Linked DNA regions of Caenorhabditis elegans. The protein of the gene in region 4 purifies or fractionates together with the protein of the main gene of each other region. This does not show direct contact. Each region holds a gene or a part of one and is shown on either strand. Other genes may lie near its edges.

Region 1 (8,226 bases), 1.7 Mb from region 4:
AAATTATGAAAATGAACCAATTGCTGCGTATATACATACTACAGGAATATGTATACATGCTTCTTCGAGTTTTACTAAGAAAAGTCAGATCTCTGCCCTCTATAACTAACCTGCCCGAATCACGCTTTTCCAATTCTTAATCAATGTGTCACTGTTCGTTGAATTACATTGAATCTCCACGGAATAAAGCTGTCCCGGTATCACCGAAATACTGCAGTTCTGTGAATCAAAGTCCCGTTTTAGTTTTTTTGTATCTTGCGTCTTTACATTTGTTGAAATGACAACGAAATAAATGTTTTCTGCAAAAAAAAAACAAATTATACCTTTGTTGTGAAGTTTGTCAATCTTACTCTCTGAGGTTTGATAGTTCCAGTGCAATAATATTTCTCTCGAGGAAACTGAAAAATTCACCAGAAACTTATCAATTTCAGTGGCCTGCTTCTCATTAATATTGTTATTATGTTCCTTTTGTCCTGCATTGCCATCTTTTTCTGAAAATCTCGAAAAGTGAATAGAAATGTAATGTTCACTGGTAATTCAATGATTTCGAAGGAGCATTTTCAAAAAAATAGTACGGATCTTAAGGTTAATTTTGAACTGAACATTCTCAATTTTTACTAACCTGCTTGAATCAGCTTATTCCAGCTTGCAATTAATCTACCATCTTCCATCGATGTACAATGAATCTCAACGTGATAACGCTGCCCCGGATGTACGACAAGTCGAAAGGTTTTCTCATTGAACCGTCTTGAAAACGTTCTTTTTGTTTTGGTTTTTACATTTGTTGCAAATATGACAAAATGTGTATTGTCTGAAAAACTATTCTTATGTGTTTTTAAAATTGAATGTTATAAGGTTCACTTTGTGCCATGTTATTATTCCAATGAAACTTGATTTCCCGCAAGGAGATGGAAAAATTGACCGGAAGTGGTGCACATTTGATGGGCTGGTTGTTATTGATAATGTAGCTTGTTACCTCAGATAGTTTTCCAGAGTTGGAAATACTTTCTGAAATAGTAAAATTTAACTGACATATACAGATTTTCTCTTCTACCTGACTGAATCTCCTTTGACCATTTTAAAAGTAATTTTTGGGTTTTTAGCATCACACACAGAATTTCAACATTGTAAAGTTCCTGAGCAGATACTTGAAGCTGACAGCTAACAGCCGTTGACGGTTTTTTAATAGTGACTGGTTCCATATCCGTGATCTTTTTGTAAGTGACAATGAATTCGATGTCATCTGAAAATGTTGACCTTATGCACCTGTTGATTTCAAATTTCAAACTTCTTCTCGTTGGCTTTTTCCATTCCAGCACAATTCGCTTAGAATAAACTGAACAGGTAACTGGTAAAAGTGGAGCTTTAGCCGGTTTTATTTTCATTTTACGCTTAATTGAAGTACACGGGTCTGGAATAACGTGATTTTAAAAAATTTGGAATAAATTTCTAAAAATTGGTGTTATTAATTCCAATGACGAGCTGAATGTGTAAAACATTTAATTTTGGTATCTTCTTTTTTTTGAAAAAAATTAGTGCAAACACTGTAATCAACTAAAAGAAAATTCTCCACATTTCGGCAAAAAAATCGATTCGCTTCAAAAAAAAAATAGAAAAACGTTGGTCATTGCCTCACTCTTGTTCACTTTGTATAGTGTGGTATTAACATTGAACCTTTTAACCATGAGGAAATTTTGAAAAACATTCAAAAGTTCAATTGTTGATCAATTTTTTGTTGTTTGAAGGTAGCAATTTGCAAAAGGGACATATTTTCACCAAAAATTACGAAAACCTTCTTTGATGACGGAGGCTCCTATGCAGCCCCAAAATTTTGTTGCTCAGATATTTGAAAAAAAAAACAAGAATTATAAATCATGGAATTAATTTGAAAATTTAACTCTTCTGAGCTATAAAACGAAACATTTATTAATTTTTCAGCAAAGAAGGAGAGTGGGTGTGAAACAAGAATAAACAAATATCATGGCCAAATCTGTTGTTGCTTAGCAGCCAAGTTCCAAAGACCATCAACAATTTTATTGTGAGACAAAAAAACAGATGGAGTGTTATCCGAATTTTGCAAAAAAATTGATTCAAAAACCAAATACCTTATACCCGGGGCATAGGCAGAACTTCCTGAACTGGCTAAAAGGGTTTTGGGCGTTCAGATTTTCTATAGCAACATTTCATTGGAAATCCGCGTCAACAAATTTGTAAGTTGAACTTTCGAATTTCTCGCCATTTTTCTGAAATACTGAAGGCCAAGTTTTTTCAAGCCACAAAATCAAGAAATTCAGAGCTAGTTTATTTCATTCATCTAGATTCGAGGTAAGAAAAATGGTATAATAAAACTAATAGGTAAGTATCTTAAAGTTTATATTTCAAAATAGAACTCTAGCAAAAACGTTTAAATATTTTTCATCCTTGTCCTTTTTGAACTCTGCGAGCTAACAGACGCAGTCGAAATAACCAATATATTCTGAATAAAAATTGTTGAAAAATATGGTATTCTGTTTGAGACCCACTTGTCCTCTATCTTGCTTTTTCGTGATACATAACATTTTCTTCACAGTTTCTCTATACTGTGAGGACATTGCAAAACATACGAAAGCATGAGAAATTCCATTCATTGTACGAAGATTCCAGAAAACATATTGTGAAAGTCCAAGTAGTGATCTGGAAATAAATTAGGCTACCGATATAAATTTTCAACAAAACTAACACAATATCAGTCATCGACTCTTCGTAAATTAGTTTAGACAAGATGAAGTTTTCAAGAATATATGATCCAATGACAGGAAGACCCTCGGAAGTCATGAAAAATATAGTCATCATGAGAATCATCTTGTTTGTTTTATACGATTGGTCATTCAACGCGTTTTTATTCATATTCTGTCTTTTTTTCTTGATTGTTCTCAATTGCAAAAGTAGAGTGATAGTTAGAGTTGGGTATAAAATAACTGAAGCGAACCGAAAGATGAGATCTATTTTATTAAACTTATCCATATTTCTGTCTTTTGCTCTAGAAACTACCAATACGTAGTAGGTGTGATTGAGGTGTTCTTTGTAATTATAGCAACTGAAAAGAAAAATGCTACTTTTGATAAATTTATCAATTAAATAAATAAACAAAAAAATTTTACTACAATCTCATATACCTCCTAAAAAAGAAAAGGACAAGGACTAAACAAGGAGGTATGAGTTGCCCACTTCTTGGAAAGGACCGACCGTTGTTATATCATTAAATTATGGCTGGAACTATTTTCAAACAAAACAAATCAATCCAACTCACGACTTAATCAAAATATCCGGATACCATCGAAATTCCATCTCGAAGTACGGTGACGAATAATAAAGTATCCAAAATGTAAACATAATTAATACTATTAAAATTGCAGTCTTAGCTTTTGCAAGCTTCTGGATCCAATTGCTCATCGGAAAAAATACTGACAGTGTTCTTATTAACGCCATCATCATCGCTAGCCAAACCGCCGTGGGCCGTGCCATTTGCACGAATATGTTGAGAATATTAACGGAGGTGACTTGCACAAAGTCACCTCGTAAGCAATTAGTATTCTTATAAAAAGGAATTGATTCAAACCACATTCTTTCAAAGCCGACATTGTAAAAATCAAGTGAGTAACCAAGGATATCAGCCACAGAAATTCCAATCATCAATATATAAATTGCACCAGATCGCAGCTCTTTTTGAAGCAAAACAATTAAATGTAAAATGTTGATGAGTACAGTAAAGAACTGCAGGCAAATGTTAATATCAGAAAGTACCATGCTTATTTTCTTATATATATCAGCACAGTGAAAATTGTCATAAAGGTTTGTAAATTCACAATCTTCAGAATAAAATTCTTCATCATAGTACATTGTATTCAAATCGAAGCAAAAAAGGTAGTCAAAGTTAAAGGACTGACTTCAAGATATGGAAATTTGAAAAAAAATGTTATGCAAAAGTGTAACTCGGGATATGACCATTAAAAGCTCAATGCTTAATAACATGCTGTCTAGGATTAATTGTTGGCGTGAATTCCAAATTGCTTTCTTGTCCTTGAACTTTTATTTGGAGTTGAGTAATCACGTATTTATTGGCAACGTGAAAAAGTGGGTAACATTCAAAGCAATTTCAGTTTTCCCGATGCTATTAGGTAGTTTTTCCTGCGCCAAGAAGTTTCTAGTACTAATAATGTCAGTTGCTTTGAGGCATCCTAGCATTTTTTTGCGACGGTAAAGTGTCAATGGGCAAGGGTTTTAAAAAAATTCCACATGACGGCTACTTTTTTAAAAGCATAATCACAAATTACTCGTAATTCGAAATACCCATTCTTGTGAGATTCGAAATAGCTTTTTGAACCAGTCTAGGTTCCGATAACTCTAATGAATTTTTTACGATACAAAACAGACTACTGTAAATCGGTCGAACTGACAAAATAATTTCAAAAATGCCAAGTATACCGAGTATAAACGTGTTATTTCTGTAAGAAATTTGAAACAATTAAAAAACTAAGAAATACATAGTATTATATAGCAAAAATTAAAATCGTTCATGTCCTTGATCTACTGGAATTGTGTGAGCTGCTAACCGACACTGTTGAGATGACCAGTATATTCTGAAATAAAAGAAGTTTTTTTCTAAATCGAAATATTTATCTTTAATCTACCTGTCCTCGTCGCTGCTTTTTCGAGGAACAGAGCATTCTCTTCACTGTGTCCCTATACTGCGAGGACATTGCAAAACATATGAATGCATGAGATATTCCATTTAATGTGCGGAGATTTGTATAAAAATATTGAGCCACTCCAAGCGCTGATCTGAAAAAGTTTCAGCTACGACGCATGACGTCATTTTCAGCAAAAAATTTCCAGCAATCCCATGCGGACTGTTTTGCAGATAATTACACAAGAATATATATAAAACTTACATTACGTCGACCATTGAATCTTGATAGTTAGGGGTAGCTAGAATTTTTTGAAGGATATAATCTCCGATACCTTCCAAGCCCTCCGATATCATAAAGAATAAAGTCATAAAAAGAATGAGCTTTGTTGTATTATCTGATCGATCATTCAACAAGTTCTTATTCATACTTTCTCGTTTTTTCTTTATAATTCTCAGTTGAACTAGTAATGTGATTGTTAAGATTGGATATAAGATGGCTGGAATAAAGCGAATGAAAGGTTCCAGTTTTTCACGCTTAAAGACTAGGCTGAAGCTAGCTTTTGGAACTACCAGAACGTAGTGGGTCAAGTTGCGATGTTCTTCGTAATCAGTGCAACTGAAATGAATGAACTTTCAGATGTGCAAGTTCGAAAGCCAACTCACGCCTTACTCAAGACATCTGGGTACCAGCGTAATGTCATAGTAAAATATTGGGATGAATACCACAGTATCCAGAATGTGAACACTACTACACTCATGAAAATTGCAGTTTTTGCTTTCGCAAGCTTCTGAATCCAAATGCTCATGGGAAAAAATACAGACAAAGTTCTGATCAACGCCATCATCATTGCCAGCCAAACCGCAACTGGTCGTGCCATTTGCACAAATATACTGACAAAATCTACAAAACTAACTCGAACCAAATCATAACGTAAGCAATAAACGTTGGTGTAAAACGGAATTGTGCTAATCCACGTTCTTTCGTAGGCAACGTTGAAAAAATCAAGTAAATAACCGATAATATCTGCCAAACAAATTCCGATCATCAAAATATAAATTGCACCGGTTCGTAGCTCTTTTTGAAATAGAACTATCAAATGTAAAATGTTAATGAAAACTGTGAAGAATTGCATAAAAACATTTGTGTCCGACAGTATTATACCCAGGGCTCGATAGATATCCCCACAGGACAAACTTGTAAATAGGTTTTCACCTGCACAATCTTCAGAATAAAATTCTTCATCGTCGGACATTATATTTTCTCAGAGAACTGTGAAAATGAAAAGATACTATTAAAAATATCTGCATTTATAGGGAAATTCCAACGAATAACAACTTGTGATAAGAGCATTAAAAGCTCAACACTTAACAGCTTATTGTCTGGGAATAACGATAGGTGTGATTATGTGGGACGGCGGCTGATTGCCTTTTCTCGATAGGCTATTTTCCAGGGACAGGTGAGTAATCACGTAATTCATGTTATTCTGATTCCAACGGTGTTCAGTGGTATAGTTGAATAATTATATGTATGCTGAACGAAAGCCGGAAGCAATTATAATCAAAAGATGCAAGGCGGGATTTTCAGGAACAACGTTGTCGCCATTTCCGTAGGTGGAATAGAGCCAGTGGGAAATCGAAAAAAAATTGTCTCCCTTTTTTTATGCTTTAATTATTCTTAAAATATGCATATTTCAATTTTGTACGTGTTCGTTGATTTGCTGGTCTATGTGTTTTTATATCGTTTAGGCTCTCAGTTATAAGAGCCGAAACCTTGCAGAACCTTGTGTAGATATACATATTACTGATCCACTGCATTGCACGCTTATTATATTAAACATTTTTTAATAAAGGAGCGCTAGGAATACTGTAGGCTCATTCTGCTATAGTTTTCCACTAAATGTATTTATTCTTAAAAAATACAGTACAAAATAGTTACGTACATCAGCAACACATCTCTATAAATTTCAGACAGACTTTGTTAATTTCTTCTTTTTATCCTTCAAGCTGCCCGAAGTTGTTGAAACGAAAAATATTTTCTGAAAGAAATCATTCATTCTCAGACTGAAATTCGTTTTCCTTTGTCTCACTTCGTCTTTCTTCTGCTGCGTGATACATAAAATTTCCTTCACAGTATCCCTATACTGCGAGGACATAGCGAAACATATAAAAGCATGAGAACTTCCATTCAACGAGCGCAAGTTTAGACAGAAAACTTGTGCAATTCCCAAAGTTCCTCTGGAACAAAAATTAGAGTTGATGATTTGTGATGTTGCTCCAACTAAACTTTTAACAAGACTTACAATACAAAAATCATCTCATCGTCATCTTCAGGCTCAGATGCAATATACTTCAACTGGGCATAGTTAACAATGGATGGAAGACCCTCAGAAATTATTACAAACACAGTCATTTTTTTTTTTTTGAATTTTTTGAATTCTTATTCACTTTTTGTCGTTTAATCTGAATGCTTCTTAGTTGAATAAGGAGGCTAATTGTGAGAATAGGATATAAAATGGCTGGAGTTGAGCGTAAATATGGCTCCAGTTGATTACGGTGACTTGAAAATGAAAGCCTACTTGTATTAGTTACCAAAACGTAGTTGGTTTTGTTGACATGCTCTTCATAGGAAAAGCATCTAAAAAAGGCAAATTTTTCAAAAGGTTATTTTTAATTTTCGAACATATACGTTTGTCCGGCACTGTACATGTAAATGCACATGTTGATTTCACCTTTTATCCAAAATATCCGGGTACCATCGAATTGTCACCGAATAGTACTCAGATGAATAAAACAGTGTCCAACACAAAAACACAAAAAAGATTATGAATATAGTCGTTTTTGGTTTTGTTAGCTTCTGGATCCAAATGCTCATTGGAAAATAAACTGATAACGTTCTTATCGATTCCATCATCATCGCCAGCCAAATTGTAACATGACGTGCCATCTGCATGAGTATGTTGACAAGATCAGCAAAACTGACACTTAGAAAGTCAGCTTGCAAGCATACTGTGTCGAAAGAAAATGGGACTGATGTGATCCAAGATCTATGTATGGCGGCGGTGTAAAAATCAAGTAAATATCCGATAATATCGGCTACGCAAATTCCGATCATTAATATATAAATTGCACCTGATCGTAGCTCATTTTGAAATAGAACGATCAAATGTAAAATGTTAATGAAGACTGTGAAGATTTGCAAGCAAACATTTGTGTCCGTTAGTAGCATACCTAATTTCCTATAGATATCCTTACAGTTAAGGCTGTTGAATAACGTGAAACCATTGCATTCTTCAAAACCATAGTCTTCGTCGTAGTATTCGGCCATTTTAGGCCACAAATTTCAAAAAAATGTGGATGAAAAAAACGTTCAAAAATAAAGAATTTAAGGCGACAAACAACTGTGATATCAAGATATCAAGATTAAAAGCTCAAAAAAAGTCTTTTTTTGGATTGTGATAATTATTTGTGTAAATGTGCAATAAAGGTGATTGCTTTTTCCTGGTTGATATCAAAGTAGATACAGAATGATTATATACTTTAGTGATTCTTTGGAAAAT
Region 2 (9,074 bases), about 10 Mb from region 4:
TAGAACAATGTGTAACCAAACTCTTAAGCCTGCTTTTAATTATGCAGAACTTATCGACTTAGTTATTTTGGTGTAACTTTTGGCAATCGGCAATTTTGGAAATCGCCGCTTGTTTAGTTTTCCGTTACGTCTACTTGTGAATAGGCACAAAACTGACCTAGTTTGTCTCGGAAGCAGACAACATTTATCTGCATGAGAGAACTAGTGCAATCGTATAAAAAGTTTTCAAAAAAATTCGTATAGAAAATTAAGAGAAGCTTGGTTCAGATACATATTCTGCAAGTTTCAAACCTACTTACGATAAAAAATTTTCAAGCTTCTGTTACAACTTCTTCTTTATACATTTCTGCTGCAAACCTTTAATTCCTAAAATCTGACACAAATCCGACAAGTGCCCTCAAAATTCCATTCAAGTACTGGGGACGTAAGATATCAATCGTTGATCGTTAAGCGCAATAAAATCACATAAGACGATCGAGTCTAGTTTGAACGAAATTATTTTCATTTTCGTTAATTAGCAACGTACCGTAGTTCAAGCCAATCAGCTAAGTGGTAGCTTAATTGAAGACCGCCTTTCAAAGAATGTAAGGAATGGTTTATATAACAGTTGCAAAAACATTTTCTTTCGGCTTCATAAAAAATCAATGTATTATTGAAATAATTGGTGGAGTCAAAACAGATTAAAAATGTGACACACTGTTGTAGTTAGTAGTTTCATCTATAGGTTTTATTTCCGAAAAAAACACTATTATACACCAAGAAGTATATTTTTCATTGTTGATAATTTTCATCAAACATAATGGAGATATATATCAAACCGGAAAGTTGAAAGTAAAACTCTAAACATGCTACTAGAATGGAATAATGTTTATGGGCATCAAAAGTTAGAGTGAACTTGAGAATTTTATTTGTGAGTGATGTTAGGGTGATTTGGTTGGCCTGTTAGCCAAATTGCAGGAAACATAAGGCACAAACGCAGTGAGTAATCTACCGTAAATTAGACAACATCTATTTGGGTTGCAGCAGAGATTTTGAGGCTATGCAAGAAAGGATGCTTGGGAATTATTGGAGTTGAATCTTGTAAAAATACTATTTCCACGTTTAGTAATGCATCTTATTGCTCAACCCTGACAATCTTTTGTTTTGCAAAATGATTTGCCACTGACAAAACATGTATGATTTTTCTTCAAAAGTTTTGTAGTTAATTAAATTTAAATATGGTAAAGTGGATGGGGTGCAAGAATATAATGGAATCGTCAAAACCGTGAAATTAAATTGCAATATATTGAAGTAATGGAAATAGAGCAAAGGTTCAGTATCATTCAGTATCATTTGTACATGCCATATGTTCCCTATTATACTTGCACATCCTTGCTGCACTTTGGCAGTTAATATCTTGGTTTCGTTTGCTTTTGTCAGAAAACTGTAAACTGACAAAATACGTGCTAAATAATCTTCTGTATTTCACTAACAGTATATTTGTGATTAATTTTAGTACAACCGAGATATGAGCCGTCAAAGTAAAGCAATTGGGGTACAAATCCAGTAGGGAAAATATGGTAGACTTGTTAACTTGAAATTAGTCTTCAGTTTATGTACTATAGGACTAAACTTATTTGTATTTATTTTTTTTTAACTTGAGGGAATAGTTTTCCTTGACATGCATACTTAATAAAGCGGTGAATTGAATTTATATGAATAACATTGTTGTACTAGTTGTTACTTTGATGCTACTTTTGCAAATTGACAAAATATCATGATATCTCGGAAAATATGCGAACTACATATTTGGCAAATTTATTACTCATCGGGTAAGAAAATCGGAGAAAACATATCTGATGTCTATCAACTGATCTAAATGAATAGAAAAATGATTGTTCCCAATTGAATCAGTCTAGATCAGGAACTTTTGAAACATATATACAGTTATATGCCCTAAAAATGAACAACTTTCCCCGTCAACAGACACAATATTTTTCTCTTTTTCTGGTCTCCATGTCCTATTTCATGAGTCAAGTGTTGTAGAGGGCGACGATAAGACATCGGGCCCAAACGCATTAACGAATCATCTTGCGGGTCGGGAGGCGGGATCTGTCAAAAGTTTGCAGCGTTTGGCAAAGGTTCGAGGCTGGCAATGAAGATGCAAGGATGGTGGACGGCTACCTGCAGATGACAGTCTATCGGAGACGCAGACTAATCAGATGACATTAGTCTTTTGAAAGTTTTGCGGAAGTCCAATTCGGCGAACACAGGTCGCGTGTGAATCGATGCTCGTAGACCGAGTAGCAATTGACAGCTAGAGATTGACAATTTATGAAGAGACGCAGACAGATGTGAACATAGAAACGACAAAAGACATACATGTTTCGAATTAGATGGACAAGATCGGTTGCCTCTATATAAAGTAGCTCAACGTATTTTATCCAAAATTCTAAATCGGTCACTATCAATCTAGCAATTCTAAAATGTTTTTGTTTCTGATTTTCCGCAATTCCATCGAAGTTACAATTTTGACTTAAAATTTTCTATCACAAATCATGTACCAATGTGTGCACTTTTAAAAAAATTGTACAATGTATGTAGCAGTAATCAGAAGGGGATTGTTTTCCTATAAAATTCAAGAAAACCCAAAATTCTCACATTCCGAAAATCTTTTTTTTCTGACTTTTTTCCTTTTTGGTTCATCGAACATAAAAACATTTTGAAACAAATTTTTGAGGTGGTCTTTTCAAGTGGAAAGTAAATTCAAAATCTTTTATCATCAGATCGAATATGAAATTTCTGAGTTTTCTATTTTAAGAACTTTCAGTATCTATAGTATCCCTAGGCACATTTTTAAAACGTTTCATACAACTCCAGCTAAAGTTTTCTGAAAATACGGTTAGCCAAATTCACCACTTCATCCTGATAATTGTCATTATGCTTTTCCTTCCACTACAACTAGACTATCTCTTTTCGGAAGGGGGTGAGATTTTAATTGTTTGTCTGAGATTCCTACGTCTTCGACCAGCGTAACGATCAGAGAACATGCCGACATGACGTCTTCCCCCAGCCGAAAATGTCTCTCTTCTGATCTTGCCTTACATGTGAAGAAAAGTACCAAAAAATTGCTGTGATAACTTTGTGATTTGAGGCTGGGTTTTCAGTCTCAAAATTTGACATGTAGGTACGTTCATTTTTCCTTCAAGTTTCCCTCTTTTTTTTTCTCAAATATAAACCCTTTTCGGTGGTCACTTGATCTTTTCCTCTCCTCTCTACGTTTTTCATTTCTCTAATAACATATCTGGTAGAGATCTCTTAGAATGACAACACCCAATTTGCATATTACAAAATGATGATCACACTTTTTTTCCTTCTCAGAATCTAAAAATGGTACCTGACAAGTCATGCTTGGTTTGCAAAAAAGCTTCAAATGGAATGCATTTCGGTGCACTCACCTGCCGAGCGTGCGCCGCATTCTTTCGAAGGGCTACTGTACTGAAATTACAGTATAAATGTAAGCAGGGGAATTCAAAATGCAATATTGATGGTCGTGGAAGGTGAGTTACTATAGTCTTCAAAATCAGAAAATTCACGTTTTGTTTATAGATATGTCTGCCGGCAGTGTCGTCTGACAAAGTGCAAAGCAATCGGGATGAATGAAGAGAGTATGTTTTTTTTTCCAAAAAAATAAAAACTTGCAAGATTTTCAAGTGCATATCGTGCACATCAAAAAATTTTACATCAAAAGTTTTTGTGAAAAATTGTTGCGAAAATTGGTTTGACAAATTTTCAAAAACTTCATGTGAATAGGTTTTGTGGAATACGCAGAAAAATAATTTTTTCTGAAAAATAAAAAATCCTAACAAAATTTCTAGATCATCTCTATGTTTGATTTTTACTCTTTAGGCTTAGAAAGGATTTTTTCCGAAGTCCGAAAATTACAAAAATATTCCAAAGGTTTTTTTTATAGCTTAAATAATTTCAAAATGAGGGCATTAAATACAAAAGTGCCCTATTTCCTTTTTTTACATAATGTTGAATTTTGAAAATTGCTAAAAATCACCACTCATTTTTGCTAGTGGTGAAATAACTAAATCCTTTCCAAAACACAAATAAAATTTCAATTACTGTCAAAAATTTTGCTGCCATTCTTTTGGAATTTAACCAAAAGCGTTTTTTTCTGCAAATTTTACAGAGTCCAATTATTTTTCTCTTCTTTTTTTCTCTTCTTTTTCTAGTAAAATATACTCATTTTTCAGAAGTTCAATTGGACTATGACCCAACGTACTCGTTTCGCGGTTTGATGGAGGATAGTGGAAGTGTGAGTTTTGTTTTTTAAATTAAAAACAATTATTTTATTTACTACATTTCAGGACGAATTCTCTACGCCAAATGGAAGCCCAGCTCAATCTGATTACAGCCCGACCAACTTGAGCCGGAAGAACTCGGTGGAGTCACCTGGAATTGATCCGAACTTTTTGTTCACCTTCTCGCCAAAAACACCGGATAAGCCGAACATGGTTATCAGTTTTAATGACTTGGTGAAGAAAATTGAAACGTCATTTTCGGTAAGTTGAAGCGAAAAACATTGAAAGTGAAAATTTTGTTATTTTATGTTCAGCATAAAACAAAAGGCGACGATTGTGAACTGACTACTTTGACGTCTGCATTGAAAAAGTTTAGGAAAAATCAAAAAGCTCAAAGTCAAATCTCTTTTCTTGACAAAGTCGAGCTGAAATCTGCTATTGATTGGCTCAATGATCGAATCTATATGTACTCTTGTTGGTTTTCCTCTTCAAAATCTTTAATGTCTCTACCCATGGATCAAAAAATGCAGCTCTTCCGATCTTCTTGGAATGTCGTTAGAACATTTGAGCGCCTAGAAATGTCTGTCAAGATTTTTGAAGAAGGAGTCATTCGAGGAGGAGTGAGAATAGTTTTTAATTATTTTTAAAAATATCAACTGTTTTTCAGTATATACTTATCAATGATGATCTCGCAATGAAATTGGAATCAACTCATATTGACTTTGCCTCGATAACTGATCTCACGAATCAATATTTCAACAAGTGAGTTTTCTGTTTCAAAAACTTTGAAATGCCCACAATTCGCTGATTGAAATTTGTCAATGTTCTGAAAAGCCTACTCAAAGTTGCGTTGGTTTTAGGATCACATTTTGATACAGCATTTTCTTTACTATAAAATTAATTGAAATACTGAAAATTCAACAAAACAATTTTTGCCGCTATGTCGAGAAAGATATAATGATGAAAAATCTTTGAACATTTTTATATTTGTATTTTTGTAATTTTCAGACTATTCGAACCCTTCCTACACCGTTACATAGATGAAGTTGCAAGGCCACTTCTTGATCTCAAGCCAACTACGGAAGAAGTCGTTTTTTGTATGGTTCACCTTATTGGACTTGAAGGTAAAAAAAAAAAACATCAATCAAATTTTTATTAACTTTAATTTTAGAAGGTGATCTTTCTCATGAAACACGAGAAGCTTGCGAACAAATGCGAGCAGAAATTGCTGACCAAATGCACGTTTATTATACAAATCGGACGGATATCAAAATGTATTCTCATCGGCTTCTGATTCTTATGAAACTGGTCAAATCCATGAAGGTTTGCCAAATTTTTTTTTAAGTTTTCTGATTTTCCCCCTATTTTTAGAGAATCTCTCGTGAGAAATCAAAGATCAAGGAGCTCTTCTGGCTTTTTGACATCTTTCATGCCGAAATCTCGGAGCCGTATTTTTTCGAGATGTTTTAGAAAATGATGGGAACCCAAATCAAGAAAATGCTCACACAACCAGTCATGATAATTTCATAATTCATTTTTACGTACGAGTTTTACAATACGAGTTGTTTCTTTTTGAAAATCAAACAAGTTCACATAAAATATTTTTTGATAATATCGTTGACAAGCACACTTCTTGGAATTTGCAAGTGATCTCCATCCACGTCCATAAAATGGATTCGTCCACTCTCATGAAGCTTCTTCAATCCAATACGATCCTCTTTGTACAGGTCGGTTTCGTTCATTGGGAGAATTGTGTCAATATCACCGTCTTTGTAGAACCCGAACCACTGGAATAAATTATTGAGACTTTATAAAATATTTCAGCGTGAGAACCGTGACAGGTGGTACAAAATGTCTGTTGCCTGTGTGGCTCTTTGTACCCATTAGAATGAGAATACTCGGGAAAACTCCGGCCTGCATTAACAAGCTTTTGGCGACCCTCGCCTATAGGCGACTATAGTCTACTTTCGGAAACTGCAAAACAAAAAAAACCACTCACAGATGAATCCTTTGGTACAACCATATGATCTTGATTGAATTTCACCAGAACCAGGTTTTTGAGACTCAATAAGTTGCGTTTGTAAGTCGGGTTGTTATTCTGAAACAAAAATACTTTTTTTTTCAATTATTTTAATGATTACGATTTTCTAACGATTTTGAAATTCAAATGTCAACCGGCAGGAATAATTTTTAGAAAAGAAAATAAAGCACCACCGTTCATTAAACTAATCCCGGCGCATCTTTTTACAGAAAAAGTTATAATTTTCAATCACCAAAAACAGTTTTTTCAAAACAAAAAAGGACCAAAATGTACAGAAATTATTAATTAATACTTCAAAAAAATGTTTTAAAAATCCTTACGTTTTCGTTATTGATATCAGCCAAGAAAATAGAACGTTTTTTATACTCTTCGACTTGATTTGGGTCGTGCCAGTACTGGGCTTGAACAACTCTAGAAAACTGTTAAAAATAATGAAATGAAAGACAAAAAATACTCGTACCGTTTTTGTACAAATGGAAGATAAGCTCCCAAGTCAATGAGACGTCTCACGCCATTGCACATAATATTGTCACCAATGCAGTACGGGGCTCCAAAAACTCCTTGATGTTGACCACCGACTGACACCAAATTCTTCATTGGTGGATTTGGGCATCTTTGGGCAACCGCTCTCCTGAAAAATTGCCGTTCTACAAAATTTTTTAAAATTTAAATTCAATAAACGCGATTTACAAAAACTGTGCTCCTTGTGAGAATCCGATCGCATTATATCCATTCTTTAGTTCAGGATCGTTCTTAATTTTGATACATGCCATATAGACAAGTTCATTGGTATTTGCATAAAATCCATGCTCAATGTCTTTTGTAATACTAGATCCCAATTGAAGACTGTGAACGTAAACTCCAGGAATTTGCTCCTCGAATAGTTTTTTCACAGATCCCATAGACAACGGATTGCAACAACAGTCACCTAAAAATCATAATGTTCGCACTTTTTCAGTAATTAAGTTACAACTAACCCATTCCATGCCACATGACCACTGGAACCTGCTTTGTAGCATTCCGGAATTCTGCTGTAGTTATGGCCAGTAGGCAAAGTAGAAGGGGAAAATATCTCATTCTTCAAGAAAACGAAGAAATGATTAGAGTGGGGTCAAATGAGAATGGACAAAGAGGTCGGCTGTTTGGCTCAACAACTGATAAGATAAGATTAATTGGCTCATTCGGGTTTATTGATTGATCATGCTAGAAGGCAAAACAATTGATAGAGTTTTTCGATTGAATTAATAATGAAGTTTGAAATCCTGAAAATAAAACCAGAATACATGACAATTTTTAGCTTTATAATTTGCTTGGCTGGCTTGAATCGAATAATTGATTGAGTTTTGAATAACCTCGCAAAGAGTTACTAGGCCGTTGTCTATGATTTCAAATCATAACAATGATCCAAATAAACATACGCAGGCAATTCAACAAGTAAATTGGATGTTCAACGAAAACTACGACCCCAAAAGCCTTTTTCATGTTCTAACTTCAGTCTGTAATTTTCTGTTTTAGATCTGTACCCACATGGCTCTACTGAATGTCGTCGATTCTGTTGGATAAAAAGAAACATTTTGAACTAAAAAGTGTATGATGAACCATTCTCGAGCCACACCAATTAATCTATTTGACAACTTACACTTTATTTCGGGCTGGAAAACATATTTTTAACTTTTAAATAATAATTTGTTAACACCCGAATTGATTTGGTCGAGATCATTGAATACATTTTTGCTAATTTCACATGGAAAGATTGTTGGATAAACTGCGACGAGAACCTGGCATGACGCATTTTTAATCGACCGTTAGCCATATGCGCACTGTGAGTTGTGCACATTATCCCTCACGGTCCCATGGCCCCATCTACAATTTCGTCTACAATGTTGCGAGATTTTTGAAGTATACATATGTACATCGCAAATTACCTGTTTCACACCTTTTTTTTGCCGTAAATTCATTGCTTCAAATAACAATGCTTTCATAGAACAATCTGTATTTGCCTCTTGAAAAATAATAAATTTTGCCATTACATGTATTCTCCGTTTTTTCCTTTTTCCTCCACATTTTCTATTGAAATACACAATTAGACGTTCCCGGAAAACACGCATGCAACCAACTTGTAATCGAATCATTTTTTCCTCATTCCTCTCTATTCTCCAACCATTTCACCTACCACGATGCGAGGAGAGTTGAATTTTAATTTTTCTATTTATTATTTGCTGTTGTTGGAATAATTTCCATCGCTATTCGCTCATTTTGTTTCCTTTCTTGTTCGCTCATATTCCTCTCCCTCAAAATCGTCATTTCGAATTCGCACAAGCATTTTCTTTCTATGTTCTCGCGCTCAAATACGTTGTAGCAGAAAAACATATGAAGCAAGACAAAATCATGTGATAATCAGTGACTGCTTGAGAGCACATTGGTATCCACTAGCAACACACTTTCTTCCATTAATCTATCTTCTTCTACTTTTGTTTCAATTGTGCTTAAGAATACAATTCGATGTATAAAATGAGCAGAAATGTGGTGTACACAAGTCACAAAACTTGTTATTTTGCTCAATAGTAACCAAACAACCTGTGATTTCATTAGGTGATGGTAAGGTTTCAATTAGAATGCGGTTGGATTGACGTGCGATGGTTAATTGCTTCCTGTTTTTGATTTGAAAGTTAAAAGCCCAAAATTAAGTTTTAAAAAAATCAAATATTTTTCATTCATCTCTTGTAACTCAACAAAGAACTTTA
Region 3 (7,981 bases), on a different chromosome or scaffold from region 4:
CACTCATTATTTGATTTTTATATATTTGATAATTTGTTCTAGGATTTAAAAATTACGCTATCTATAAATGTTTAACATTTCCTTAATTGTTTTCTTTATTTTTCTCTAATTAAAACAGGTCTTATAACCTAGTCTATCTATGAAAAATTATTTTTACTGTTATCCAAAATCCAAAATTCAGATGATATCTTCGTTTGAACCACCATCTTCATCGTCATCGTCTTCTGATGAAGACTCTGATGATGAATACCGAGAAGAAGATGGCAACAGTGAGAGAAGCAATTCGAAAGTATGCATTGAAGAAGTTGAAGAAGTTGAAAAAGAAGAAATTGCGAGCAGAAAACGAAAAAGAGGAAAAACGAAAGACGAGTTCCATCCGTATGTGGAATATTTTTATATAAATGAAATGCGAACATTTTTACAGATGTCCGTTCTGTGAGAAAAAGTTTCGATATCCCAACAAGCTGAGAGAACATATAAAAATTCATGATTGTATGTTTCAGCATTCTTATTTAGTAATTTAGATAATTATTTTTTCAGCTAATCGTTACCAATGCCTTGAATGCTCGACAATTACCAAATTTGGCACATATGGTGAATTGAGAGCACATCACAAACTACATCATTCGAAGGCTTCTCATAAGTGTCCACAGTGCTCGTACACTAATGAGGTGTGAATTATCGAGTTGTTCATCTTCTGATATTGGAATTTCAGAAACCAGCATTCATTCGCCGTCACTTCGAACAAAACCATGTTGATGGTATTCCGTGTACAATTACTGGCTGTTGTATCAAAGTAGCAAAAAATCGGCTCAAGTGGGTTTCATCGATTAATAAAAAATACATTTTAATACAATTTCAGAGCTCACATCAAAGAATATCACACGTCTATTCCATTGTCTACCGAACAAACTCGATCTAAACTATCTTTCAACAAGTGCCCTCTATGTGAATACAAACCTGATGTTTCAGATGATGATCCTGAACAACAACAGAAAGATCTTGAGGATCATGTTCAAAGGTAGGTTGTAAAAATTCGATTATAAATTATTTTTTTTAAATGAAAACGGTTTTTTGAATAATTTTACCTATTTCAGAATTCATGAAGAACGTGAGCCAGCTCTATGCACTTTAGGATGTGGTGTTTATTTGGGATCCGGTAGTGTAAGCGAGCATCTATCGACATGTTCATCCTTGATTCAAAATATACCATCTTCTTCACAATCGACACCAGCACTTCAAAATGATGAATGGAATGATGCTAACACTGAAACCACACTATCAACAATCACAGGAACTTCTAGTCAATTTGAACGTGATTCTGTGTCTGAAGTTACTAATGATTTATCGGAAAATATAAACGATATCGATGAGGAAATTGAATTCGGGACAACTGAACCTCCGAATAAAATAAGAAAGCACAGTAGAAGTCGAGTACATGGAGACTTCAGCTGCGAAATATGCCTTAAAACATTTACATTAAGAGACAATCTTCGAAAGCATGTCAGAGTATATCATTCGGAAAATTCGCAGAAAGTAGTTAAATCCACGGGACCAAAACACCAAGAACAGTACAAATGCGATCGAAAGTCAAAAGATGGTGATGAGACTACTTGTGGAAAAACTTTTCGAACAGAACAGGCACTTCACGATCACTTTAATGTTCATGATGGTAAATACTTACAATCTAAAAGTTTAATATCTGAAAAAATAATTAATGTTTAGGTATCAAACCATATTCCTGTCATACATGCAATCAAAAGTTTCACGCACGAGATCGATTCGCCGTTCATCTATCAAAATATCATCAAACAAGTATCAAGGATCTTACGGCACGCGTGGCTACATTTGGATGTTGAATTTGGCCATTAATATAATAGAATAGAAAATAGAATATACAATTGTTTCAATCAAGTTTTACAACCATACATCACACCGGTAAAAAATTAACCAACGGTAGAGTTTAGTCTATTGAGTTTCATGATGATCTTTCAATTGTTCGAAGTATACTACTTGTTTTTGTTATTGTATTAAATAAAATGTTGTTGTTTTAATTTTTAATCAATAATTATAAATATGTACACAAAAATTAAACGATAGAAAAATGAGATGTAGATCAGCTGTGCGAAGGAATGGAAAAGCATTGATGAGATAGTTTTTGATTCTTTTGATTATTGGCCCTTAATGATATTGACGAACTCTGTAATATCAACAAAATATAGATAATATAGATTAAATCAATTCCAACCTTGAAAATCGATCATTCCGTCATGATCTAGATCTCCTTGTTTTATCATTTCTTTCGCTTCAGTTTCAGTTAACTTCTCTCCCAATTGGCACATAACAAAAATTAAATCATCGATGGAAATCACGCCGTCTCCATTTTTATCGAACACCTGAAACAAAACAGGTTTATTAGTTAGATGCAAAATCAATGTGCTCACATTAAAAACATCTCTCAATTCTCGTTCTTCTTTCGGATCACAGATTTGTCGTCGGAGTACATTCAAAAACTCATCTATATCAATACATCCATTTCCTGAAAGTATTCAACTTTTTCTTCCCAATACTCAAAACACACCATGAGTTTAAATTATCCATAGACACGTTAGGTTTCGTCCGTCAAAAAGTTCTAAAGCGTAAAAAAGTTGCATTCCGCTTCAATTCATCATCATCTCCACCTACATATTCTGCTTCCTGTTATCGTGCACTCAGTACTTTTCATTTTTTTTTCTGGTAAAAATACGGGAAAGTTGGAAATTTCCGGAAATCACACGCGTTAGTTCTATTTTTGAACACAAAATGTACCAGCTGTTTGAAATTTTTGAAGTTATAGTGGTGTGGAAGCTTATTCATGCGGAAATCTTGTTAGTACACTAGAAATAGAGAGAATACTGTATTTCGCTACAGTAGCCAAAGACTCTTTTTTGCATTAAAGCCCTTGATGTGAGCTCATATATTTTTTGAGAAATTATTAAAAATTCTTCAATAGAAATTGCGAAGTAAAGTATGTCGCGAGTACGGTAACTGAAAAAGCTAGGCTCACAACTTTAAGATATTTTGCAATTTCACATTTTTCCCCAACATGTGTTTCATTTTCAACTCTTGTTAATTGTGAAATTATAAAGAAAAATCGTCAAATATCAAGAGGGAATTACAACACAAGAGATCACGAGTACGGTAGCAGAAGCTTCGCTGGTGCCAGGACCTGATTTTGAAATCCAGTTTTTTGTTGCGAAAATGCTATATTTGATTTACAAAAAATCTCAATTGTTTCAAATTAGATTTTAAGAAAATACCACTTTTTGTTGGCAAGAACTAGAATGTATTCAAGAATATGGTCAGTATATACGGAAAATAGGATGAATAGAAGTTTGATCGTACCATCTAAATCAGCTTGCTCAATCATTGTCTCAATCTTCGAATTGCTCGCTTTTTCTCCCAATTGAAGAAGAGCAACCTGTAAAACTTATATTTGTCCGAAAATTCACAAATTATAACAACAAACCTCCAACTCTTGTCTTGTAATTCTTCCATCTCCATTTTTATCAAACTCTCGAAATACTTCACGAATTTCAGCTTCTTTCAGTGAGTCCATTTTAGCTGAAATAATGTTCAGTAGAAAACGAGGGGAACAAGTGAAAAATAAATGATAAAAAAAGGAGATGCACGAATGAATGACGGAATGAATTAATGAATAAATAAATGTATATGAGTGACAACTGAATGAAGACGACGACGATGAAAATGACATGAAATTTATGCGGAAATTGGAATTGGAGACCTGTGAGCCCCGCAAAGTTTCACTGAGCACCTGAACTTTGAGCACTTTTGAATTGAAATGATGATGAGACTCAAAAAAATGATGGAAGAATGCAAACAAAGAGGGAAAAGTCATGAGAAGGAAAGTGTTCTTGTTGAGTTTTGCGGGGGTTTATTGGGACACCAAAACACCATCTTTTTGGACTCCAAAGCCACGCCCAGTTTTCAAAATCTTTTAGACACGCCCCAATGATTTTTGTCATAAGACTTAGGAATCAAAAGTTGTGAAAGTTTGTGATTGTGAGAAAATGGATAAATAACTCGAAATTTCAAAGATTAAAATGTCTGATAGGGGAAATCTCAATAACAAAAAAAGGTTTTATAATAATAAAATGTTGAAGAAGGAGGACTTGGATTGTACACATATTTATACTTATAACTACAGTATACCATTTATTTCCGATATTCCAGAAACGCCCATTTTTTGCCATTTGCCCGGTAAACGCCCTCTATATTTGAAAAATGAAGATACTATGAAAAATGGCACAAAAATATATACATAGAAGGTCACTGACAATGTGATGAGGCGGGAAAGAGGCGTCCCTTGCACGCCGTATGGGGTTTCCAAAAACTTATATGATATTCCTACAATTTTATTAGTTCAATGTAATTATAGGAATTAGAAAACCCTTTTTTGAACTCTTACAATTGCAAAAATTACCAGTGGAAATTGCCGTATTTCCCTATCAGACTTGCTTCACTTTATCGGTTTATATCTCGGTTTTCTCAAGTTTTATCAGGAAAATTGTAACTGAAAATTTGTAGAAAAATATTTTGCACATACTTTGTAAGTTGACAATATTTTATAAAATCGAAGAGAACGGAGAGCTATCAAGTTAAAGCGATAGAGGTGCAAGTCTAAGAGACAGTACGGTATGTAAGAAAAATTTCAAATGCCAAAATATTTTTGAAAAATGGTTTACAAACGCCAAAATATTGAATATGTTCTGCAATTTATTTTTTGCCTACAAATCTCTATTCTCTTAGTCTTATCCACTTCATCTTAGTCGTTGCTCTTCGAAATTAGCTCGATTTCAGTGGAGCTCATGAGAATCTTATTGCTCCATGTTGCATATATCTTGCAAAAAAAACCAATTCGTATTGAGAAAAAGGCACATACAAAATAAGAAAATGCAAATATTGGTGAGAACAAAATGAGAAAATAAAAAGAAAAAATCTCGTGATTCTTTAATAATAAACATTGAAGGAATCTTTATGGAAACGATGAGAATGAAAATAAAAGCGGGAGAAAAGATAGAAAATGAAATAGTGTTCTGTTCCAATGAATGGGTAAATATGATCCGCATCTGGGTAAATATAGACTTGTAAATAAAAGAAAGATTCGGTTCAGCTTTACCCAGGACATAGATTTTAAATGAAAAAAACATAATAATTGTTCCAATTTTTTTTTACATCGGAAGTTTTGGTAAGTTGCCATTTTTCAAAAATTTTGAACTTACTTTGTGAGTTTCAAGTATGGCTGCAGGCCAGAGTTGCTACGAAATTTGTCAAATGTTCATTGTGAGCTGACTCTAGCACCTTTCTAGCACAGCGCAAATATCCGATCTTGTTCACTGTCTGCTAGTGTTGTATTTTTTAAAGGCACAGAAGAGCGTTCGAAAGTTTCCAATTAGTTAGAATATAATTTTATAATACAGGCGTCTGCTTCAGCTTTTCAATAAATTTTCCAAAAGAATCCACGTCATTTCATAGATACAAGCCTGAACCCATCTAAACTAAAACTTTAGCAGACATTATGGGTGAATGCATCCAAATAATGGGGTTTTTGCTGGGACAAAAAAGTTTTGGAAACGAGGAATGAGTATGGGAAATGAGTGGAACATGTACTTCATTTGATTGACATTCTGCCTTATTTTTCCTTCTAAAAGTCATTTTTTGGCTCAGAAAAGAGTGGAGTTACCGCTTGGATTAATCAAAAATTCAAGGGTTCCATTGACCACCAGACTTGTCTCGACTTGCACATTGGTGATCTACATCACTTTCAATCCAAAAAAGTATTTGTAAATGCAAAAGGGTGTTGAAAATAAATCAGATCTCTCAGAATCTGAAAACTGGTAAAAAAAGAAAACAAACTAGAGTCGGGTAAAACTGTGAAATCTTTAAACAATGGAACGAGAATGAAACGATAGTTCGGAATAAGAAATTAGTCTTTCCATTTTATAAAAGGTAGCCAAATATTTCTCATATTTGAAAACTTTAAATGAAGAAAGGGTCACAAAAATACATTAAAATCATCTGTGGTACTAATAAATCACATTGAGAAACAACACCAACTTGGAGCTCTAGACAGAATCCCCACAGACTAAATTATTTTCGATATATCTTTCTTTTCTCTTTCAGTGCAGTCAATTATCGTGTTTTGTTTATTTCTGGTAACGAGAATAGTTGACAGAGATGTCGCCAAATCAAATTTGATTTCTTCTTGGAACACTTTTTTGATCTTCTGGGATTTCCAGATTTTTGGCTTAAAGCGTAAGCTTAGACTTAGGCTTAGGCTCAGGTACATGCGTAGATAGAAGGAAGGAGCACAAGGCCTGAAAACGTGCCTGTCTTCTAAAAGTCAGATCTAATCGGGCCTCTTATTATTGCGACAAAAAATCATCTGCGAGTTTCTATCATTTTTCTTTTCGGATATACCAGTCATACAAGTGCTTATTTTTAGAAATTAAAATGTTGAAAAATGCATGTCAATTTGAATTTCTTAGAAAAATATTACAAAATGACAAATTTCAAAGTAGATGTACATTTTCTCATTTTGAAACCCCACTTCAAATGTCAGATTTGAATCATTTTGAGCATCCGGTCTTTTAACTTTTCTCAGAGTTTTTTGAAGATCGCAAGAAAAAAGGAATAAGAATTGGAAGGTTTGTCCGAAAGTTTTCACAAACAAATTGAATTTTACGAGGGCATCATATCTCCTTTTTTTAGCTCAGCTCGCTTCTCATTTCTGGTCAACGGTCGTGAACTTTTTTGGTGCGTTTTTTGGACTATGAGGGATCGAAAATTAGAAAGTAAAGAAGCGAAGAAAAGGCGAAGAATCAGAAAAAAGTCACGGTGGGAATCGGAAAAGTAGGTGAAAAAAGGACATAATTGGGTTGACAGCTGAAATAAAACAAGAGAATGTGGAGGTGGATGAAGAGAAGAAAAATAGGAAGGAAATTGGTAGAGGAAACAGGAAAAAGGACAGACAGCATAGATTGTTAATATTAATTGGTTGAAAGTTTCAGACGGATATGATCAATGAACTTTTAGTCGAAACGTTTGAGACAGGCATATGACTAGGCTCATTTAAGACCCGGTCTAGGTTAATGTCAGGTATAGGCTAGTCCTATGCTAGTCCTAGGCAAATCCGCGGTAAAGACAACTCCTAAGCTTATAACTAGGTTTATCATAGGCCGATTGTAGTCCTTGGCCTAGGCAACTCCGCGGCATAAGGCAGCTCTTAACCAAAGTTAGATATCATTTCCCAAACTCATTATTCTGACAAGTAAATAGGTTTCCGGCGTCCTCTACCGGAACTTTATAAAATAATTCCAAGAACGACAAGCTTTAGTTTTTTAATAATAATAATTGTAGGAGTCACGCAAATCTCTTCCTTTCCATCAAACTACAAAGAAATGAGGAAAAGGAGTGAAGAAAAGGAGATGGATTAAAACGAAAGATAGGCTTGATTGTGACAAATGACACTGAAAACAATGATGGAAAGAATACGAAAAAAGAGAGGATTACATTTGATGGAATTTCGAAAAAGAAATGGAGAATGTAGGAGTAGTTTAAATAATTTAGAACAGCAATTATTCAGAAATCAGAATATCCATAAGTGGGTGTAGTTGAACTATTGGAAGAATACATTATGTTCTAAAGTTTGGTTTTTCATTGTTCAACTACATCGTTATTCAAGAAAGCTCTTCCTTGTTCTGGGAATTTTCCAAAGAACAGAATATTTTGGACACAGAAAAAAATGGAAAAGTAGAAAACATTTAAGATGATAAGCAGGCAAAGTTGCAACTCCCGTGCCTGCCTCATTTTTTTAAAAGTTCATATAAAGGCAAATAAATATGTTTTTAGAAGTTTTCCAGATTTTTAAATCAAAACGAATTTGACTTTAAAAAATTTAAAAAATTTAAACAATACTCAA
Region 4 (6,585 bases):
TTGTTCAACTAAGTCCTATGACGAATAATGATAACGTCTGTTCAATAAAATATAAATTGAGTCTTGGCACACTCCTGATGGAAATTTTTTAAAGCACTGATAACTAGTCATGAGGGCAGTCAAATTGACTTTCAACTGACATTCTTCACTTTATGGCAACGAGCAATAGTAAAAGTTCCCAACATCGGAAGTTTGTGCGGGTAGTTGCCAGTGTTGTTGTAAATGTTTGCCGTCGTTATTCCAAAAATACGATTTTGGATTTTGAATTCCGAAATTTTTTTAATAAATCAATGTTAAAGTTAGCTTGCAATAAGTTAAAAGCAACTTTTCAACATGTTGTCTAACTTATTCAATAGGTGAAAAATTAGGAAATCGCAACTTCCAAAATTCCAAATATATTCTATCAGCAAAAAAGCTCATCAAAGTTCATTGAAAAATTGAATTTTTACAAAAATTATCGTGAGTATGAACTTTGAAAAGTTCAAAGGTCGTTGAGAAAGATGATCAAATACCCTTAAATAGCAAACTTTTTGGTTCTCACCAACAAAGTGCAGACTTGTAATAATGAATCCTCAGCGAGGAATTCTTTTTGCCTGTCTTCTCGTCGTTGTGACCAATCGTGGAGCTACTGCTCAACATGCAAGACCGCCAGTAGGAGTAACAGGAGATGTCACGGGAGCTCGCATAGACCCTCCGTCAGACAAATGTGAAAACCCTTCCGTCAACATCGCAACTACGGAGGCCCCAAAAATCGTCACAACAGCGGAGCCAGCAGCCAACTCAACCAAGCCAGCCCAGCCCAACTCAGCCACCGGTCCAGTTGTTCTCCTCACCATTGTGGCAGTTACTATGAACTAGGGCTCCCAGCTAAGTGAGGCGCGGAATGCGGGCCTCACGCCGGCCTCACGCCGGCCGGCCTCGCGCCGACGCCGCACGCCGCTGTGTGTGTGAAATGCAGTGCGAGAGGTAGTTATTTGAAGCGGCCGACACGTTCGGGGTTCCGCAGCTTAGTGTGAAATGAGTAGCTTGGTGTGTGTGCAACGTAGTGTCTCACTATACATGCGGCGTGGGTGACGCCGTGAGGCCGGCGCGGCGACCGCTGAGGCCGGCGAAGGCGCCTTTGCGGCGACCTCATGGGAGCCCTACTATGAACAGTTATTTTTAACATTGGCAGTTTGAATGTTTTGTGAATCCAATAAATACATTATTTAATCATCAGCGTTACTGTATCATCGTGTTGAAAGTGTTTTGTTCTTCTATAGTCCTCCAGAAGTGAGCAGTATTGAAACACATTCTGAGGATGTCCTAACAAGCAAATATGTTTACTTGTCTTATTGACCAAATGTCTTGAATATTTAGTTTTGTATGCAAAACCTCCTACTGATTTTTCAGAACTTTGTTCGTGAAGTTTGGCCTGAAAATGCAAACCATGGTCAAACACCGAGTTTTAGTTATTTCTGACAGGTGTGGACAAATTTCATGCTGACAGGTGTGGACAATTTCAGCTGCTTTAAGGCTAACTACAAGCTCTAGGAGTCTTGTTGATCTGCATCTTGGCCACGCTGCGTCAAAGGTGTCAAGTATCATAACTTTTGTATCACTTTTCATTAATAACATCGGTTCCTGAAAAGATCTGACAATTAAAAGCTTACTATTTAACGTAAATATGAACTTTGAAAAGTTCAAAGGTAGTTGAGAAAGGTAATGAAACTTACCTTAAATACGGACCTTTTTGAATATTTTCATCATTGTGCAAAAGTGCAACAATGAATTCTCAGCGAGGAGTTCTCTTTGCCTGTCTTCTTGTCGTTGTGGCCAATCGTGAAGCTACTGCTCAACCGGCAGGAAGTGTGGTTGCATTCCGAACAGGAGGATCTGCCGTTGGTGCAAGCCAATGTAAGCACCATTCAAGAGAATACTCTGCCGTCTCTATAATATTTGTTTTCCCAAAGACAATAAGAGAAACGCATACATGCAGACGCACAGAACTTGAATGGCGGCGGTTTTGAAGTTTTTGCGCCGCGCTGAAAATTATGATATGAGCTTTAAGTACTACTCACCCACTCTTGCTTGAGAATAGTTTTTAAAGGTCAGACAAAGACGATCTGTGAGAAAAATGTGAAGCTACTGGTCAAAATGGAGGACCGGATGTAAGAATTCTTAGTGGTGACAGAGGAGGTTCCGTAGGTGAACGTTTGAAAACTACGGAATCCCCAAAAATCGCCACAACAGCGGAGCCAGCAGCACCCAAGTCAGCCGCCGGTCCAATTGTTCTTCTCACCATTTTGGCAGTCATTGTTGCTAATTTGACTGGTTTTTGAATCGAATAAATGCATTATTTAATCACTAGCGTTTTTGTATCACCGTGTGGAATTTATCCTTGTCTTAAAATTATATCCCCCAAGAAAGTGGTATTTGAATAGATTAAGCAGAAATCGTCTAACAGAATCGGCTGAAATTCATGATTTCAGAACTTTGGCTAAAATTATCAAACATTGGTAAACACTGACTAGTATATGGCAACTTAACTACAATTTGTATTAATTTTTCACTAGTAAGAACCACAGGAAATTACTACTTACCTGACCTCATAAAATTGGCATGAAAAATCCAAATATTCCAAATGCTACGGTATTTCGTTTCGATTTTTGCCAATAAGAATGTAAAAGAACTAGGTAGTACCAGATGAATATTATGTAGAAAACTTCTGAATCAATACTCATGAGAATGTATAATTTGGGCTTTTGTCGTATGTAGGCTGACAGGCCATTAAATGGGCTGGGAGAGTTTCACACATTCTCACAAAGTCAAATACTTTTTTACTTTTCAAATTTCTCGTAAACTTGACCTTTGCAAAGTACAAAGATTGTTGAGAAAGTTCATCTTATTCTTATATATAGAGAACTTTTTGAATTTTCATCATTGCACAAAAGTGCAATAATGAATCCTCAGCGAGGAGTTCTTTTTGTCTGCTTCCTCGTCATCTTGGCCAATCGTGAAGCTACTGCGCAAACTCCAAAACCGTCGGCGAGAGGATAGAGCGTACATCTGCCATTGGAGTTTCAGCACCACCAGCAGAAATAATAAAGCCCAGGGATGTCAATGGTGTCATTCCATCAGAGTCAGCTGAAGTGATAAAAAGAGCCATTCCACCACAGTATCTTCCGCAGAACGATGTCTTGAACGCAACAATGGCATCACCCAATTCAGCCACCGGCCCAATTGCTCTCTTTGTCATTGTGGCTGTTATGTTAACATTGGTGATTTGAATGGTTTTAAATTGAATAAATACATTATTTAATCACTAGCGTCACCACTAGTTTAACTACTAGCGTAGTAATTGTCAAAACGCATTATGTTTCCGGTTGCTCTCTGGTTTTCTACAAGATCAATTTTTATTAACAAAAAAACAATCAGCGTGAAGTTTTCATGATAGGTCTCTACTCCGAAACAATCTTGACGATGCCTCCGCAAGTCTAACTGTACTCCTAGATTCTGAAATTTTCGGATGTTCCAATTTGAACTTGTGTGTTACTCACCCTTGCAAATAATCTTCCAAATCATCTTTTTAGCAGTTTTCCGGTAGTGATGGTGCACTGTAATAACTGCAACACTTTGTGCAACCCCGTGAAATGCAGCGCAGACTATTGATAAGTTCATCATTTCTTGAGAGTAATATCCGAACGAATAAGCAATTGCTAAAATGATCAGTGGCCCTGATATAAACATCAATGGAATACATGTTTGTAATAGGATACCAATCAAAAATGCCTTTTGGTTCTTCTGAGTTTCTTTTGAAACTGATTTCGACGGAGCTATATAAAGATAGTAAACCGCGCAAAAAGCATGGAATATTATATTTCCAGCTGTTTGTAAAATCATTGATGGAAGGAAAATAAAGCTTATAAATTGGATAACGTTTTGATCAGTAAGTAGTATGGTAACTGGAAATTCGAAAAACTCCGTTGTGGGACATGGGTAACGAGTTAATGCATGAAGTTTGGCAGCTTCTTGATCAGCAGGATTTGTCAAAAAGAAAAGAAGACAGCTGCAGTTGTAGAAAAAAACTATTGCATGGTAGAGGAGTCGAGTGGACTTTCGAGTTATTTTAAACCGATTTTGTGGTAGGGAACTGCTACGGATTTCGAAAAGATACACATAAGAGCATACGGCACCTGAAGGACACATATTTACGTTTTTTGTTCAATGATTGTTTGAAAATTTTATTGTTTACTACAAAACTATGAAATACATGGGTAAAACGAAGATGGCACAAAAGCGATGAAATAGAGGGTCATCTGGCAAATGAAACAATTTCATCAGTTTTTTACACTCGAAATATAGAAACTGCGAGGCGTGCACGCACAAATCCTAAACCTCAAGCCCGACTTTTTTTTTTCGGAAAATCAGCGGGTAAATGCCGAAATCGGGACCGAAACCAATATCAGGCGCCGACATCTCACGACTTCCGCGCCCACCCCTAAATTATCCGAAAAGGTCGGTGCCTCAATTTGAGGATTTGTGCGCACATACGCCATGCAGTCTCTTTATTTTGATTATATCTCTGTTTGGAATCAAAGGAGTTTCTTTAGACTGAAATTATTTTAAGCCTGGAAGATGATTGAAACTTAAAAAGTCATGCGCATTGAACCGGTGATGGTCCAATCAGCGGTTCATGTCTAATAGGCATACACGGCGTGTAAATTGGTACCTCTGGCCTAGAGAAAAACTTGAAAAACAAACGTACGCAATTATGAAAACGCGCGTGGTGTTTGCGGACTTGACTACTGTAGTCCACATAAATTTTAGCAATTAATACTTCCCGGTTTCGTTTTATATGAAAATATCCTTGAATTCAAGCAAAAAACGCATTATCTTTTTGAGAAAGAATAAAAGAAACACTAAAATTACATTAAATTCAAATACAAAAAAAGTGACCTACGCAGAAAACGAAACAAGGCAGTTTGAAGCTGCATTAATGAACAGCAATTTTGAGTGTAAACTTGTGATGGTGGGTATACATTTTATGTACTTAAATTGTTTAAAACCCTTCATTTAGTCAATTGGTGAAATTTCAAAAACTTTGTGAATCTAGTTTTTGAAAAAATTTCAAATTGGTGCCAATTTCACTGATTTTTTGTGAATTTCCGAGCTAAAATTGAAAAATTCAATGTGAACTTGTGACGGTGGGTAAGGTTTTTATGCACATAATTTGTTTGAAATAGTCTACCAAGTGAACTGGTGAAATTTCAAAAACTTTGTGGACCTAGTTTTTGAAAAAAGTTCAAAAATGTGCCATTTTTGTCGAATTTTAGTGGTTTTCGGAGCTAAATAGAAAAATTCAATAGGAACTTGTGACGGTGGGTATGAATTTTTCGCACATAATTTGATTATAGTAGTTTACTGAGTAATCTGGTGAAATTTCAGAAAATTTGTGGATCTAGTTTTTGAAAAAAGTTCAAAAATGTGCCAGTTTTGACGCATTTTCCTAATAATTGCCTAATAAATCAAATTTCTACCTTTATTTAGGAAAATAATCGTGTTTAATGTAATTTTTTCATTTTAAAAAGAATTTTTGTGCATATTTTTGTAGTTTTGATCCATTATAATGTCTCATTCATCGATGTTCAATGGCATTAAACATTTAAATTCGAATTTCGCGCACTTTGCAGCGGCCATGGCCTAGGATTCTCACTTTTGTCTTTTCGCTAGGCCAGATGTCCCAATTTACACGCCGTGGCATAGCCTCCAAGTTATCCCATGTTTAATCAAATGATAAAACTAACCGTTTCCTATTATAAGGCCAACAAACAGCTGTATGGTGAATGGTATTCCGAACCAACTTAGTGTTCCCAGTCCGAAAATGCCAGCAACTGGGAGGAAAACATAGGGTGTACCTCCACTGCACAGCCCAATATCTAACCCAGTACAAAGTGAGTGATTCAGTAACAACGGCCATGAAACACTTTTCATTACTGTCGGCGTTTTTTTAATGATTATGTAGAATGCGAGAATTTGAAGTGGGAAAGAAATTAGCTGCATGGCATGGGTTGGATAGGCAACTCCTTTCCATGAAGCCCAAAAACTATACTCGACGTTACACGTCAAATAGGTTGTCGCATAATAATCCTGCACAGACATTGAGTTAGATTTTTTCTCAAATATTTGATACGTTTGATATCTTGAAGCAGTAATTTGATAAGAATACAAGCCCTTGTTCCAAAACCGGCAGCTGAAAAGAATAATTGCAAACCAAATTTAATTAAAATGCAGAGTTGACCTGATTTCACTTCCCTCCTGTCTATGATTCACTTTCCCAGCAAACACGCGTTTTCTCTTGTTTCAGCTGTAAAGAATGACATCAATTATAAAATTGGGAAAACATTTCACGCCAATCAACTAAAATCGAAGAACTCAATCGTTTACTCAATTTTTAAATAGTAATTATCATGTTCACTTTAATGTTCCAATTAATCAACTTTTGCCGGTGATAATTGCTTTTCTTGTTTGTACTTTATTCGTAACTTTTTGATTATTCTTCCTATGTACTGTGTATTTATTTTTCTGTCTTTATACCATACTGCT

Evidence for each region.
Region 1: the proteins of F49H6.17 (region 4) and srw-16 fractionate together in Caenorhabditis elegans (co-fractionation; one large-scale study listed by BioGRID). This does not show direct contact.
Region 2: the proteins of F49H6.17 (region 4) and nhr-37 fractionate together in Caenorhabditis elegans (co-fractionation; one large-scale study listed by BioGRID). This does not show direct contact.
Region 3: the proteins of F49H6.17 (region 4) and cal-8 fractionate together in Caenorhabditis elegans (co-fractionation; one large-scale study listed by BioGRID). This does not show direct contact.

What each region holds. Positions count from the first base shown.
Region 1 is NC_003283.11:15,270,979-15,279,204, forward strand, and holds srw-16 (G-protein coupled receptors family 1 profile domain-containing protein), read right to left. Parts: upstream 3,880-8,226; coding exon 3,290-3,879; intron 3,077-3,289; coding exon 2,720-3,076; intron 2,674-2,719; coding exon 2,523-2,673; intron 2,477-2,522; coding exon 2,405-2,476; downstream 1-2,404. Other genes in the region: T10H4.4 (Phytanoyl-CoA hydroxylase-interacting protein-like C-terminal domain-containing protein), read right to left, coding at 111-299, 351-491, 623-811, 862-1,008, 1,055-1,243, 1,289-1,385; srw-17 (G-protein coupled receptors family 1 profile domain-containing protein), read right to left, coding at 4,554-4,619, 4,671-4,821, 4,932-5,285, 5,333-5,922.
Region 2 is NC_003283.11:6,618,899-6,627,972, forward strand, and holds nhr-37 (Nuclear Hormone Receptor family), read left to right. Parts: upstream 1-3,295; 5' UTR 3,296-3,369; coding exon 3,370-3,539; intron 3,540-3,588; coding exon 3,589-3,647; intron 3,648-4,241; coding exon 4,242-4,303; intron 4,304-4,355; coding exon 4,356-4,550; exon of another isoform or gene 4,551-4,557; intron 4,558-4,603; coding exon 4,604-4,909; intron 4,910-4,956; coding exon 4,957-5,051; intron 5,052-5,297; coding exon 5,298-5,413; intron 5,414-5,460; coding exon 5,461-5,612; intron 5,613-5,660; coding exon 5,661-5,759; 3' UTR 5,760-5,878; downstream 5,879-9,074. Other genes in the region: ppt-1 (Palmitoyl-protein thioesterase 1), read right to left, coding at 5,879-6,076, 6,289-6,387, 6,651-6,741, 6,791-6,961, 7,021-7,258, 7,308-7,407.
Region 3 is NC_003280.10:5,478,439-5,486,419, forward strand, and holds cal-8 (EF-hand domain-containing protein), read right to left. Parts: upstream 3,604-7,981; 5' UTR 3,599-3,603; coding exon 3,509-3,598; intron 3,461-3,508; coding exon 3,385-3,460; intron 2,540-3,384; coding exon 2,445-2,539; intron 2,397-2,444; coding exon 2,249-2,396; intron 2,201-2,248; coding exon 2,172-2,200; 3' UTR 2,046-2,171; downstream 1-2,045. Other genes in the region: Putative zinc finger protein F56D1.1, read left to right, coding at 182-378, 425-492, 541-671, 716-816, 863-1,021, 1,098-1,672, 1,726-1,859.
Region 4 is NC_003283.11:17,016,643-17,023,227, reverse strand, and holds F49H6.17 (Acyl-CoA thioesterase), read right to left. Parts: upstream 3,239-6,585; coding exon 3,002-3,238; downstream 1-3,001. Other genes in the region: F49H6.8 (MS Related Protein), read left to right, coding at 565-858; F49H6.12 (MS Related Protein), read left to right, coding at 1,767-1,896, 2,125-2,321; srh-97 (Serpentine Receptor, class H), read right to left, coding at 3,428-3,495, 3,540-4,175, 5,787-6,141.